Callithrix jacchus: one gene and its partners. The protein of the gene in region 3 binds, or shares a complex with, the protein of the main gene of each other region. Links are inferred from orthologs where the notes say so. Each region holds a gene or a part of one and is shown on either strand. Other genes may lie near its edges.

Evidence for each region. Proteins that work in one complex are often made in the same cells at the same time.
Region 1: the proteins of PRKAA2 (region 3) and PRKAB1 are in contact, whole or in part, in a crystal structure (PDB 8BIK), measured with the Homo sapiens proteins. The link is inferred for Callithrix jacchus from reciprocal best matches to the Homo sapiens genes PRKAA2 and PRKAB1. Residues at the interface, in NP_006243.2 of Homo sapiens: Gly9, Val11, Lys12, Ile13, Thr21, Lys29, Lys31, Asn48, Arg49, Arg53, Asp56, Val58, Ile61, Lys62, Ile65, Gln66, Lys69, Val82, Ile83, Ser84, Thr85, Pro86, Thr87, Asp88, Phe89, Phe90, Met134, Met164, Ser165, Asp166; in NP_006244.2 of Homo sapiens: Pro79, Thr80, Val81, Arg83, Thr106, Ser108, Asn111, Val113, Ile115, Gln154, Val155, Asp159, Phe160, Glu161, Val162, Phe163, Ala165, Leu166, Asp169, Ser170, Lys172, Cys173, Pro186, Tyr187, His188, Gln189, Glu190, Pro191, Tyr192, Ala202.
Region 2: the proteins of PRKAA2 (region 3) and PRKAB2 are in contact, whole or in part, in a crystal structure (PDB 6B2E), measured with the Homo sapiens proteins. The link is inferred for Callithrix jacchus from reciprocal best matches to the Homo sapiens genes PRKAA2 and PRKAB2. Residues at the interface, in NP_006243.2 of Homo sapiens: Gly9, Arg10, Val11, Lys12, Ile13, Thr21, Asn48, Arg49, Val58, Gln66, Gln81, Val82, Ile83, Ser84, Thr85, Pro86, Thr87, Asp88, Phe89, Met134, Met164, Ser165, Asp166, Gly167, Glu168, Phe169, Leu189, Ala191, Glu194, Pro253; in NP_005390.1 of Homo sapiens: Val60, Ser61, Gln64, Glu67, Asp68, Ser69, Thr73, Gln74, Ala76, Pro78, Thr79, Val80, Ile81, Arg82, Ile106, Ser108, Val113, Ile115, Val155, Ser158, Asp159, Phe160, Glu161, Phe163, Asp164, Lys167, Leu168, Gln191, Met193, Tyr194.

The regions. Positions count from the first base shown.
Region 1 is NC_133510.1:122,778,302-122,782,700, forward strand, and holds the start of PRKAB1 (5'-AMP-activated protein kinase subunit beta-1), read left to right. Parts: upstream 1-1,538; 5' UTR 1,539-1,816; coding exon 1,817-1,975; intron 1,976-4,399. UniProt on the Homo sapiens protein: Non-catalytic subunit of AMP-activated protein kinase (AMPK), an energy sensor protein kinase that plays a key role in regulating cellular energy metabolism.
Region 2 is NC_133519.1:7,290,440-7,294,735, reverse strand, and holds the start of PRKAB2 (5'-AMP-activated protein kinase subunit beta-2), read left to right. Parts: upstream 1-1,435; 5' UTR 1,436-1,577; intron 1,578-1,812; coding exon of another isoform or gene 1,813-1,835; coding exon 1,836-1,991; intron 1,992-4,296. UniProt on the Homo sapiens protein: Non-catalytic subunit of AMP-activated protein kinase (AMPK), an energy sensor protein kinase that plays a key role in regulating cellular energy metabolism.
Region 3 is NC_133508.1:93,781,016-93,784,658, forward strand, and holds part of PRKAA2 (5'-AMP-activated protein kinase catalytic subunit alpha-2), read left to right. Parts: intron 1-2,565; coding exon 2,566-3,070; intron 3,071-3,643. UniProt on the Homo sapiens protein: Catalytic subunit of AMP-activated protein kinase (AMPK), an energy sensor protein kinase that plays a key role in regulating cellular energy metabolism.

The sequences.
Region 1 (4,399 bases), on a different chromosome or scaffold from region 3:
TTTACTAAGAGTCAAGTGCTATGCTAAGCATTTTTATGCGTGTTCCCAATTAATTCGCAAATCAAGCCTTTAAAGTCGGTGTTATTTTAATTCCCATTTCACAAGGTGCCTGTTACTAAATGGTAAAACCAGAATCTGAACCCAGGCAGGCTGAATTCGGAGCTCATGCTCTTGAACATTATTGTTCTCTCACTTGTTTCCGGACCTTGCAATATCATAGACACTTCCCCATAGTGACCTAAAAATTGTTTCTTCCTTTTTAAAAAGATATTCTACAAAAAGAATGTATTCCGCTCATTTAGCCATTCTCCCTCTGAACAACTTTTAGGATTTTGTAGTTTTTCATTTCCTTATTTCACACCAAATCTAAGATTCCATTGATTGTAAAACGCATCCAATTTCAGAAATTAAAATATGTGGGGGTGTGGGGGGTGACAGGTGCATCTTAGAATATGCTTTTGCATGTAAATATTTTGTAAATAATGCTTGTAAATAATTTTCTTGTGTCTATTTCTGCAGAAGTTTCCTAGGAATAAAATTGTGTGTCAAATGAAGGTGTATTTTTTATTTTGATGCGTACTGCCAAATTCCCTCCAGGAAACTTTACCTTAGTCATCCTGTGTTTCTCATTTCCTTAGCACAATGTCTGGTACTTTTCAGGTGATAAATAAATGTTTAGTGGGTGAAATGCATGACCTGACCCAGCAAATGCAATGTATGTTGAGATAGTCACACACCCAAAAAAACACAAAATATGACAATGACTGACAGTGAGAAGATGAGAATATTTTACCACCGTATTTGTATGCACTTCTTGTTGAAGCACTGGTTAGGGTAAACGACAAATGCTAATGCATCTTACGCAGAAGGATGTTTCCGAAGTGATTACAGGGTATCTTGCAAAATTATGTATCCAAAGATTAAACACTCATTTTAATAATACACTAATAACGCCAGCATTTTACAACCCCCAACCTACTAGATATAAGAGATTTCCAGAGATCTTATGGTCTGCCATTTTGTCTTTAATTGCACGACTGCCTGCACCCCTGACCCTAATCTCCAGAAATCAAGATTCTGCAGTGGGGGCTGCATTTAACAAGCGCTCCGGGTTAACCTAATGAATTGTAAAGCGTGAGAGCGCGTGCATTAAAAGGGCTTTAAGAAGAGGGGTTTCTTAATTAGATTTGCATTTTAGAAAGATCCCTCTGGCTGTAGAGTGTAGAATCAACTAGAAGTAGGCAAAGATAGTTAATGGCATGTTCAGCCCAGCGTGTGAATGGCCCAGACGACCGGAGCGCTGGGACGCCCCCTGCTGGCCCTCAGCAGCCTCGTCCTGAGCCGGGCCATAGGCGGGCGGCTGCTGACTGCGACTGCGCGCTCCGAGGCCTGCAGAGCCAGCGCAGGGGCACCTGCAACCGCACAGCTCAAGACCGGAAGCGGAAATAGAATCGAGATAGCGTCGCGCGCTTAGTCGGCCGCAGCCACTTCTACGCCCTAGGCCGGGCAGATTTACGGAGTCGCCGGAAGCGGAAGTCGCTGAAGGGTGGTGGAGCGATTGAGAGTCGGTTTATCTTCGCGCTCTTTTGGGTTTTCGCCGCGGCTTGCCTGGGCGGGTAAAGCACTATTGCGAGAGCCCCGCAGCCCCGGTGACTCGGCTGAAACCAGCTCCCGGCCTCAACCCTCGCCCAAGGGGGTGTTCCAATTCCTTCCGCGGACTCCTTGGGACCCGCGGTTCCGGGAGTCCCTTGCCCAGGGTCCCTTTCTTGCAGTGAGGCTCCGTCCAGCTTCCCCGTGTCCCCGCAGACCCCCCATCATGGGCAACACGAGCAGTGAGCGCGCCGCGTTGGAGCGGCATGGTGGCCATAAGACGCCCCGGAGGGACAGCTCGGGGGGCACCAAGGATGGGGACAGGCCCAAGATCCTGATGGACAGCCCCGAGGATGCCGACCTCTTCCACTCCGAGGAAATCAAGGTGCGAGGGGTGTGGGATAATCCAATTCCCATTGACTAATGTTGAGGAGAGGAACCCTCCACTAGATTCCCGCCACATCCTTTCGAAAACCATCAGAACGAGGAGGGAGGTGGTACCTTACCCGGTGCACTTAAAAGCCAGATGGTCCTGTAAGAGCCCTCTTAGCAGTCCAGGAACCTGTGTCTAATTAGCAATATGAGAAAGTCCTCCCAAGGGAGGAGACACGTACTTCGTTTAACATCATTAAGGAGAAGCAGCTCTGGGACAGAGTTTCAATTCTTAATTAATTCAGAGAGTCGAGCTAACAGCATTTGAGTCCCATCCTCCACCTTTCTCTTAGGTGTAATTAATTTCGCCGCTTTGAGACAAATTCCCTCACCTTTACACAGACTGCAACTTTTGTAAAAGTTAGAGAGTTTATTATCCATTTTGGAGGCAAACCAGGTACATACACAAGCTGAAAGCGTGGAACGGCTGACGGCAGTTGCCGGAGGTGTTCAGTTCTGTCAACACTTGATTCACCCTAAAGTGCTGGCCGGTTCGGCCTTTTTTTTTTTTTGAGACGGATCTCTTTCTGTTGCCCAGGCTGGAGGGCAGTGGCACAATCTCGGTTCACTGCAACCTTCATCTCCCAGGCTCAAGCCATCCTCATGCCTCAGCCTCCCGAGTAGCTGGGACTACAGGCGTGCGCCACCATGCCCGGCTAATTTTTGGTATTTTGGGTAGAGTTGGATTTTCACCATGTTGCCCAGGCTGGTCGCGAACTCCTGACCTCAAGCGATCCACCCGTCTGGGTGATGGGATTACAGTCATGAGCCACTGCTCCCAGCCTCACCCTTCTTTTTTTTTTTTTTTTTTTTTTTTTTTTAAGTGGACATAGAAAAGTCATTCGACTTCTAGAGGTCGGGGGTAGTGAGGGTCCATCTAAAGGAGGCAGTCAGCAGCTACGGAACTTCCTTCTGATGTTGTTTAAATAGGATTTAATTGCTTTTAAGCCGTGCCAACATTTTTCTTCCTGGTGCAGCCTGTTTTAATTCATCAAAACCTCAGGTGACTTTTGACTCCTGCTTCAACCACACTCCTGTTAACCACCTTCATAGGGCGGGTATTTCCAGCTGCAGGGCCGAATCCAAGGACACTTAGTGATTCTTGCAGCTGGTATTTATGTGTTATGTCTGAAAGGAACTACTTGTTTCAAGGAACAAAGTAGGTTTAGGAAAGATAAAGCTGCCCTCTGCCCGACATACCCTGTTAGTATCCAATTTCATGTTAATCATCATCCATTTAATTGCCTGGCAACTCATTCCACCTGTGTTTGTCCTCGTGTAGCGTGAAGTGATCACATCTCACACTTTCTTTTGGATCTTAGTTTTGAGCCTCCTACAAAGGAGCTGCTTTTGTGTGTCCCTACAACATGTAGTTTGAACTTGCTTTCTGAATTTGTTGCATTCTTGAAGAGCTGTGTGCAAAGTGACGTTTCGAATCATGTTTCTCCAATGACTTGACTGTTCTTTACCCAGGAAGTAATTTTGGTCCCTGGTCCCAAGAAGGCTCTTGAAGACACCAAAAGAATCAAAACTATTTTCTTCAAGAAGTATTTGTTCTGTTACTATTCCAAAACTCCTACAGGAAGTGTTGAGCACACACATAATCTATGGGGAATGATTTCAAGCAGCGCCTATTCTCATTTCATCAGAGGTTACTGAAATCATGTAGCCCTGGGTTGAATGCCCCAGATTCCAAAAAAGCCATAAATTCTTTTAACTACGCCAGTGCACTTATTTTGGGTATAATGAGTTATCGTTAGTGTGAAGTGATTCCAGTCTGTTATTCTTTAATAATGTAGATCTTATTAGAATTCAAAGAATGCAGGCATCATTTGGATAAGCTGAGGTCAGTATTTGAAATGAAGGTGCTAGAAACCTGCTTAATACCCTTAAGAGTCTTTTCCAGCCTGAACCTCCTGCTCTTTTTAAGTCTTTGACTTCTGACTAGGAAAAAAATCTAAAAGGTGCATGACTACATATATATCACCCAGATAGAGTTGAATGAGTTTATTTCTCACTTATTCTGGAATACCTCAGTTATACAGAGGCTACCACACTGGAGGTTGTCGTTTATCCTAATGAGGGTTCAGTCTTTGTCTTGCCTTTTGTTCCCCAGTGCCTAGACAGCACTTTGTGAGTAGATTTTCCCTTCCTCAAAATCTGGATTTGCCCATTTTCAAGTTGACAGCTCTAGAATTGTTCCTCTTAAATTTTCATGTACAGTCATCCGTCACTTAATGATGGGGACATGTTCTGAAGAATACATCATTAGGTGATTTTATCATTGTGTGAACATCATAGAGTGTACTTACACAAACCTAGACTACCCACCTAGTCTATCAGTCCGTTATCACACTGCTCTGTAGAAATACCGGAG
Region 2 (4,296 bases), on a different chromosome or scaffold from region 3:
ACAGAGCTGCTCACTGAGAAAGAGTGGCCTATGTAACTTGGGGTTTCCCATCACTGGGCGTGTTTAAGCCTAAGGGGCATATCTTGTTAGAAATGTGTTACAGTAAACAGTATTCCTGTATCCTTCATTCCACAAATGCTTATGAAAAGTCCATTCTGTACATGAAAAGGAATCAAATCTGGATCTTCTCTCTCCCAGCTGTCAAAGCAGTGCTTCTCACACACGTTAAAATGCACATTCTGAACCCTGGGGCCTCGATTATGAACCCTGGGGCCTCGATTCTGTATTTCTAACAGGCTCCCAGGTGATGCCAACGCTGCTAGTCTGTATAATGCAGAGGAATAAACGTTTCTAGTAGGGAATGAGACATACAAATAACTATAATACAAAGTAAGAATTTGTAAATACCTTAGAGATTTCAGTAATTGTCATAAAAAACCTGGATCCCTCCCAACGCTAGGGCTGTCTTTGCCCTTTTTATACCTTTAGTGTTCTTTCTGACGTTTTCGTTGTTGCTCTCTTCCTTGAATTTTATCTCTTCTGAGGTTTTTCACTGTGTATGCTGTTTCGTAGCCTAGGAGAGTCTTTTCGTCCGACTCCTAAGACTAACATTTTACTAATTTGTCAAGGTCTATCTCCTAAACACTCCATCTTGAATTCTTCCCTGCGACCCCAGTCCAAGGAAGGGCTGACAGTTCCTTCCTTGTCGCTCCCCATAGAACAATTTTTTTTTGTTTTGAGACGGAGTCTTGCTCTGTAGCCAGGCTGGACTGGAGTGCAGTGGTGCGATCTTGGCTCACTGCAACCTCCGCCTCCCGGGTTAAAGCGATTCTCAGGTCTCAGGCTCCTGAGTAGCTGGGACTACAGGCCCGCGCCACCACGCCCAGCTAATTTTAGTATTTTTAGTAGAGACGGGGTTTCACCATGTTGGCCAGGATGGTCTTGATCTCCTGACCTCGTGATCCACCCGCCTCGGCCTCCCACAGTGTTTGATTACAGGCGTGAGCCACCGCGCCGGGAGCAACGACCACTGCTTCCTTCTGCCTGGAGCTGGAAGTCCGTTTTCTTCTTCCCTATGAGGGTCCCACCTGCCAGGTCGCCTAACACGCAGATGCTGCCCAGAAAACGTGCTGGCGCATCTGAGGCCGGGTCGAAAGCCGCTCCGCTCCTCCCGGCACCAAGCACCGGAGTCCAGGGATGCGGCCTCCGAGTGTCATTTGGGGACGTCCCTCCGCCGGGTAGTCTCAGGGGCCCAGCGGTCCAGCCATCCCGGGCGCAGCCTCGCCAGGCTTCACAGGCCCCGCCTGGCGCCCCCTCCTGGCGCTAGAGGCTGCGCGCGGCTGCCCACCATCGAGGCGGCGGCTAGAGAGGCCGGCGGGCCCCGGGCGCCGCGGCTGCGGGCCGCAGGGAACGCGCACGGGGCGGGCTCCGCGCCGCCGGCCTTGTAGCCATTTTAGGAGGAATCACGGATCTGCAGGGCGGGGTGCGGCTTCAATTTCAATAACTTTATTGGTGGCGTGATCTGCAGAACAGCCATCACGTCAGTGGCCCCTGGAGGAGTGAGCGCTTCGCCCGAGGTGACTGGGGTGGGGGCGCCCCTGGCTGTGAGTGCGGGGACGCGGGGGACGTCCCGATAGCAGGGTTCCTGGCTAGCGGCAGCGAGCGCGCCGGGGCATTTGCAGGCGTCCCCGCAGGCCGGGAGAGAGAGGGCTCCGGGGCTCGGCGTCCCTGGGGCGGGGAATCCCTTGCGCGGTCCCACGGCGCAGGGGCGGGGCTGGGGTGTTCACCGCCAGGTGTTGTTCCCCGCGGTAGGTGGTCCCCGCCGAGCTGCAGCCATGGGAAACACCGCCAGCGACCGGGTGTCCGGGGACCGTCACGGCGCCAAGGCTGCACGCGCCGAGGGCGCCGGCGGCCATGCCCCGGGGAAGGAGCACAAGATCATGGTGGGAAGCACGGACGACCCCAGCGTGTTCAGCCTGCCCGACTCCAAGGTAAGTGTCCCACGCGCCCAGCTGGTGGCTGAGCTGCAGCGGGTTGGTTTCCGGGCTCCCGTTCCCTTTCTCGGTTCTTTCCAACGGGGTACTGAACCGGGCGGTGGTTTTTTGAATTAAAGGGATTTTTCCGGGACAGAGGTGTTGGACGGTAATTCCTCTTGCAGTGCCGCCTCAAAATTATAAAGAGAAGGAGTTTTTGTTTTCCTGGTGTTCTGACTACTCTGTTGGCCACAGTTTTAGGATGGGGACAATAGACAGCCTCCCCCACCACCTTGGTTTTTCCTAACATGCACGAGTGCCCTCTTCTATAGCGTTGATGAATTTGTAGTTTGTAAGCTCTGCTGGAAAACTTCAGAAGGCAGGTTGCAGGAGCTGCTGACTATGGGTGGTCTTTCTTTGCCTTGAGGTGGCTAAATGAATTTCTTTTTTTCTGAAAATTTCTGCATCAGTATCATTTTTGCCCTTCTAGCCGTTCTGCTCTTGTGATCTCTTCCCTTTGGCAGGGCTGTGAGCAGCAGCTACCTAGTTATGGAATACTTTCCTCTAGTCTTGGGGACCAATTAAGGACATCATTTGGTTGACTGCTTTATTTTTGTCTCATACTTTATAGTTATGGTTGAGGTTGTGCCACTTTCACGCCCCGCTGCTGCTCCTCAGGTGGGAGAGCAGATGATTCCACGACTTGTTTACTCCCCAGTGGTACTTCAAAATGTTGCGTGGCTAAAAATCCACAACCCAAATCTGCCCTGAAGTCCTTGCCCTCAATTCCAAGTACTTTCAGGAAGAGGGCAACTTATTTTCACTCTGTAAGAAAGGACAGATGGAGCTGATAGCAGTGGTTGCCATTCTGATGTTTCCAATCGCTTTTAGGGTTGTCAGGATGAGATGTATGTAATTCTTCCAAGTAGGCTGACGGGATGAGATGGAAAAATGGAGGGCTTGAGGAGATTGGGGTGTGTTTGATGTTTCTTATCATTTCATCACTTCCCAAGGAACTGGAGCTTTAGAGAGTGAATAGAGGATTATTTGCCATATTGGTAACGCATGGAATTTGGATTCTATGATTGATTTCCTTGGATCTCAATTGATAACATAATCACAGCTGGGCGCAGTGGCTCATGCTTGTAATTCCATCACTTTGGGAGGCCGAGGCGGTCAGATCATTTGAGGTCAGGAGTTCGAGACCAGCCTGACCAACATGGTGAAACCCTGTCTCTACTAAAAATACAAAAAAAAAAAAAAAAAAAAATAGCCGGGCGTTGTGGGGCATGCCTGTAATCCCAGCTACTCGGGAGGCTGAGGGAGGAGAGTCATTTGAGAAGGTGGCCGTGGTTGCAGTGAGTCTAAATGGAGCCACTGCACCTGCACTCCAGCCTGGGCGACAGAGTGAGACTCGGTCTCAAAAAACAAAGAAACCAAAATCACAGACAGAGAAGTGAGAGTGATTAAAAGGAGCCTTTCTTGGGGTTTATTATCCATTCTTTTCTTCCCCTGAGAATTTATTCTGCATCATTTGGGCTTTCTACAAGCCATCTGACTTTATGTCTTTGGAGCTTTCTAAAGGTGATCTGCCTCATTGTATTTTTATCCTTTTCCTATGTTGATGACTCAGGATTTAAATACAGTGTATTTGTCAAACTGTGACTGCAGTAATCGGTGTCCTGATTAAAAGCCAGGTTGCTCTGTCTGATTTGGGGCCTATTTTGGATTATTCTTATCTCTCACCTCAGTCTTGCCTTTTGTGAATTTAGAAAATTATTCAGATAATTTTCAGATTGTCTGAAAATTAGTTCAGATAATTCTTAAGGTCTTACTTAAATCTAAAATTTTATAGTTTTCAATCTGCCCTCTTTACTTCTAACCTCAACATTTAACTGTAGTTCTAATTGTTTTGCCCGTTTTCCTCGTAGTTTTGCTGAGTAACTTGGAGTAAACAGTCTTTCTGCTAGTGAGCTGCATTCATTCCTACCACAGAAATGTCATGTCATAAGTGGAAGGGCTTTCCTCCAAAGCTAGGCATATTAATAGTTTGTAGCTTTCAAATTCTAAACTGAAAATCCTGCCGTAAAAGTAAGTGATAGAAACAGGCAGGGGCTTTGAATGCTTGCCTTTTTCAGTGGACTAGTTCAGTGGTTCCAATCCTGTTTGCATATAAGAATCACCTGAGATTTCTTTAAATACTTTATGGAAAATTTGAAACATTTACAAAGTAGGAGAAACAGCATAATGATGTCTATATACGGGCCACCCAGTCTGAAGAATGATCAGATCTCTAAGGAATGACATCTATACCCCAGTCCGC
Region 3 (3,643 bases):
GGCTTGTGAGTGGGAGATTTCCAGAGAACTGGTAGGTAAGTAAGATAATGACAGTTCTCTTATGGTCGGAGTTTTGGGCAGCTATATACTATTCTGTTCTTCTGTTTTCCCCACCCCAATGCCCCAGTGGTTGTTAAGCTCCTGGTTTTCTCAGCTCTGTGATTATGAGGCTGTTGCATTTCAAGGCTGCCATGGAACTGGACAAAGGGAAATGGACATAGGACAACTTAAAAAGCCACAAATCTCACCTTTCTTACTGAAATTCAGCCATTTTTCTTGAATAGACAGTCTTCAGATTGTTGCAAGCCTTTGATTAATTTCCAGGGTTCTGAAAAAGTTGACTTAGACTGTTTTTACTGGTATTTTGTTTTATGAAATAATAGATTTTTTGAGTTTATTTTGGTGAAAGTGTTTAACTTCTCTACTTGTCATTTAAAAAATATTAGGCAATAAAAAAAATTCTCAAAAAAAAATTAGACAAGTAACATAATTTTTTTGTCTTTTGTTACTTCTTTTGTAGCTGGGTGTGGTGGTGCACACTTGTAATCCCGTGTACTCAGGAGGCTGAGGCAGGAGAATCACTTGAACCCAGGGGGCAGAGGTTGCAGTGAGCCGAGATCACACCACTGCACTCCAGCCTGGGCAACAGAGTGAGACTCTGTCTCAAAAAAACAAAAAAAAAATAGAAAAGATCTATCTCAGTTATTTTTATTGCTAAACATTAATAGGTGCTTAATATTATTGTATAGCAAATAAACACATGAATGAATTTTTGTGTTCATACTTTGTCTATTCATATATTTATTCAGCATTTATTGAGCATTTACTCTGTACTACATAGTGGGATAGAGCTAAATAAGGTGTGGTCACTATTTCAAGAAGCTCTCAGTTTAGTGGGCAAGATCAAGAAAAAACAACTATAAGAATGTGTTGTGATAGAAAAATCTAGTAGCTGTAGAAGTTTTATCTTTGTACATATCCTCAGGGGTTGACACACCATCATTTCTCACTTGGACTATTGCAACTAGCGTCATCATCATCATCAACATTTTTATCTTTTCAATTCAGTTTTTATACCACAAACAAAATGATCTTTACAGAAGGATAATTAGGTTATATTATCCCATCTCTTTAAAATCCTTCAATGATTTTTATCAACCACCGGTTCAAATTGTGAGATTTCCTTTTTATAGCCTCCAATTCTTAGAAGTATCTGATTTCATTTGGCACTCATCTCAACTCATTCTGCTTTCATGATGTTGAGCTCATTCCAGTTCCTAGAGCACAGCACAACTCTTGTTTGTCTCATGGTTTTTGCACATAATGTTTCTTTTGCTGGGAATATCTGTTCCCCAACTATTGGCATAGCTGACTTCTGATCATTCTAGTGTCTGCTTAAATATTACTCAGAGTGGCTTCCCTGATCACCCACTTCTCATTCTAAATTAAACACTCTCATTTTACTCTATGCAATTTCTTCTCCAATATTTTTCTCAGGATTTGCATATTTGTAACTATATTTTCATGTATATTTGTTTAATCTCTATTCAGCTAAAATATAATCTTTGTGAGGAACAGTATTTCTTTTTGTCCATGGTATTTCCTCAGTAAATATTTATGAATAAATTAATCAGTGAATAGAGGACATTCAGTCAAAATATATCTTCATCTGCATTTATCTTATGGGAAGCCCAGTTCTACCAGGTAGGAATAATCTTGAAGGAGTAGTTTGTATTAGATGAAAAGGGTTTGACATTCTAGGATAACAATAGTAACATCAAGTGCAAAGCCCCAGAAGCGTGAGAAAATATGGCTTAAGAAAGCAGTTCTCAAACTTTTTGATTTTAGAATTCCGTAACTCTGAAAAATTATTGAGGACCTCAAGGGGGATTTATTTTAATGTAGGTTATATCTATAAATATTTACTATATTACAATTAAAACTGAGAAATTAAGAAAACATTTAATTTATTTAAAAATATAAACCACTATATGTTAAATAATACATCTTTCATGAAAAATAACTATATCTTCCAAAACAAAAAATAATTGTGAGAAGAGACATTATTTTATATCAAAGACAGCTAGGTTCTCATACCTTCTTCATTCAATCTGTTGCATTATTTCGTGTAGTTGAAGTGTGTAAAGAAGGTATGATCTCAGATAAGTGGTTGGAAAAGGAAAACATTTATTAACACCAACTTTATCAGAAAGTCTTTAAGTATTGGGAAGCTGTTAAACACATACAAATAATACAAAATTTTAAAGTTTTTATTGAAAGCTTGAATTTTATCATTGGCAACAAATATTGCTGGTTGTTTTCCTTAAAGAGATGGCCTTGCTTTTTTCATTTTTGAGAGAATGTCATCTGAATGCCCAAGTCTTTATAACCATAGTTATTCAATGGTAGTGGGTAATTAACTTGCTCAGGGTTACATAGCTAGTAAGTGGCAGAGCTAGGTATAGAGACCAGATCTTTTGGTTGTATTATGTTGTATTGCCCTATGTCTAAATTATTTGGACTTGCCAAAGCATGTCTTACAATAGTGTATTGTGTTTTTCCTAGAGAGCATGAATGGTTTAAACAAGATTTGCCCAGTTACTTATTTCCTGAAGACCCTTCCTATGATGCTAATGTCATTGATGATGAGGCTGTGAAAGAAGTGTGTGAAAAATTTGAGTGTACAGAATCAGAAGTAATGAACAGTTTATATAGTGGTGACCCTCAAGACCAGCTTGCAGTGGCTTATCATCTTATCATTGACAATCGGAGAATAATGAATCAAGCCAGTGAGTTCTACCTCGCTTCTAGTCCTCCATCTGGTTCTTTTATGGATGATAGTGCCATGCATATTCCTCCAGGCCTGAAACCTCATCCAGAAAGGATGCCACCTCTTATAGCAGACAGCCCCAAAGCAAGATGTCCATTGGATGCACTGAATACAACTAAGCCCAAATCTTTAGCTGTGAAAAAAGCCAAGTGGCATCTTGGAATCCGAAGTCAGAGCAAACCATATGACATTATGGCTGAAGTTTACCGAGCTATGAAGCAACTGGATTTTGAATGGAAGGTAGGAAATTACAATGTATTAGGATCATTTGTAGAAGCCATTTTTCTATATGATAAGCTGCTCTGAGCTGCTGAGTTGAGTATTAAGTGCAGTTTTTTCTAGTAATATACCATGCACATTAAAAACAAACAAAAAAATAACCTCTAAGGATGAAAACCAGTTGATGCTGGAAACCAACATTTTGAATTATAGTGTAGTGTTCTTGGTCAAGAAAAAAGTAATCAACTAGAAATCATCTGAGAAAACAGATTACTGGTTTCAGCATGCATCAAAGCGTTGGAAAATCATGAGTGTCTTCAAAGATAGTATGTTTTTACTTCTTTTTTTAGGGAGGTTTTTTCTTTTTTAGGGGACAGAGGCAGGTGGCTGTGATAGCTAGTAATCAATACAAATTATACCATCACACATATTTATTCAGTCAATAAACACTTTTCTCTAAATTGTGATATTCTCTCTTATTTGGCTCGTGCTTTTAATGCTTCTAGTACATTTTCCTTACTCTCAGCCCAAAGTTTACTCTTCTTAAAAATAAGTGCTCAATTTCATTTTAGTTCTATTTGAATATGTGTGTGG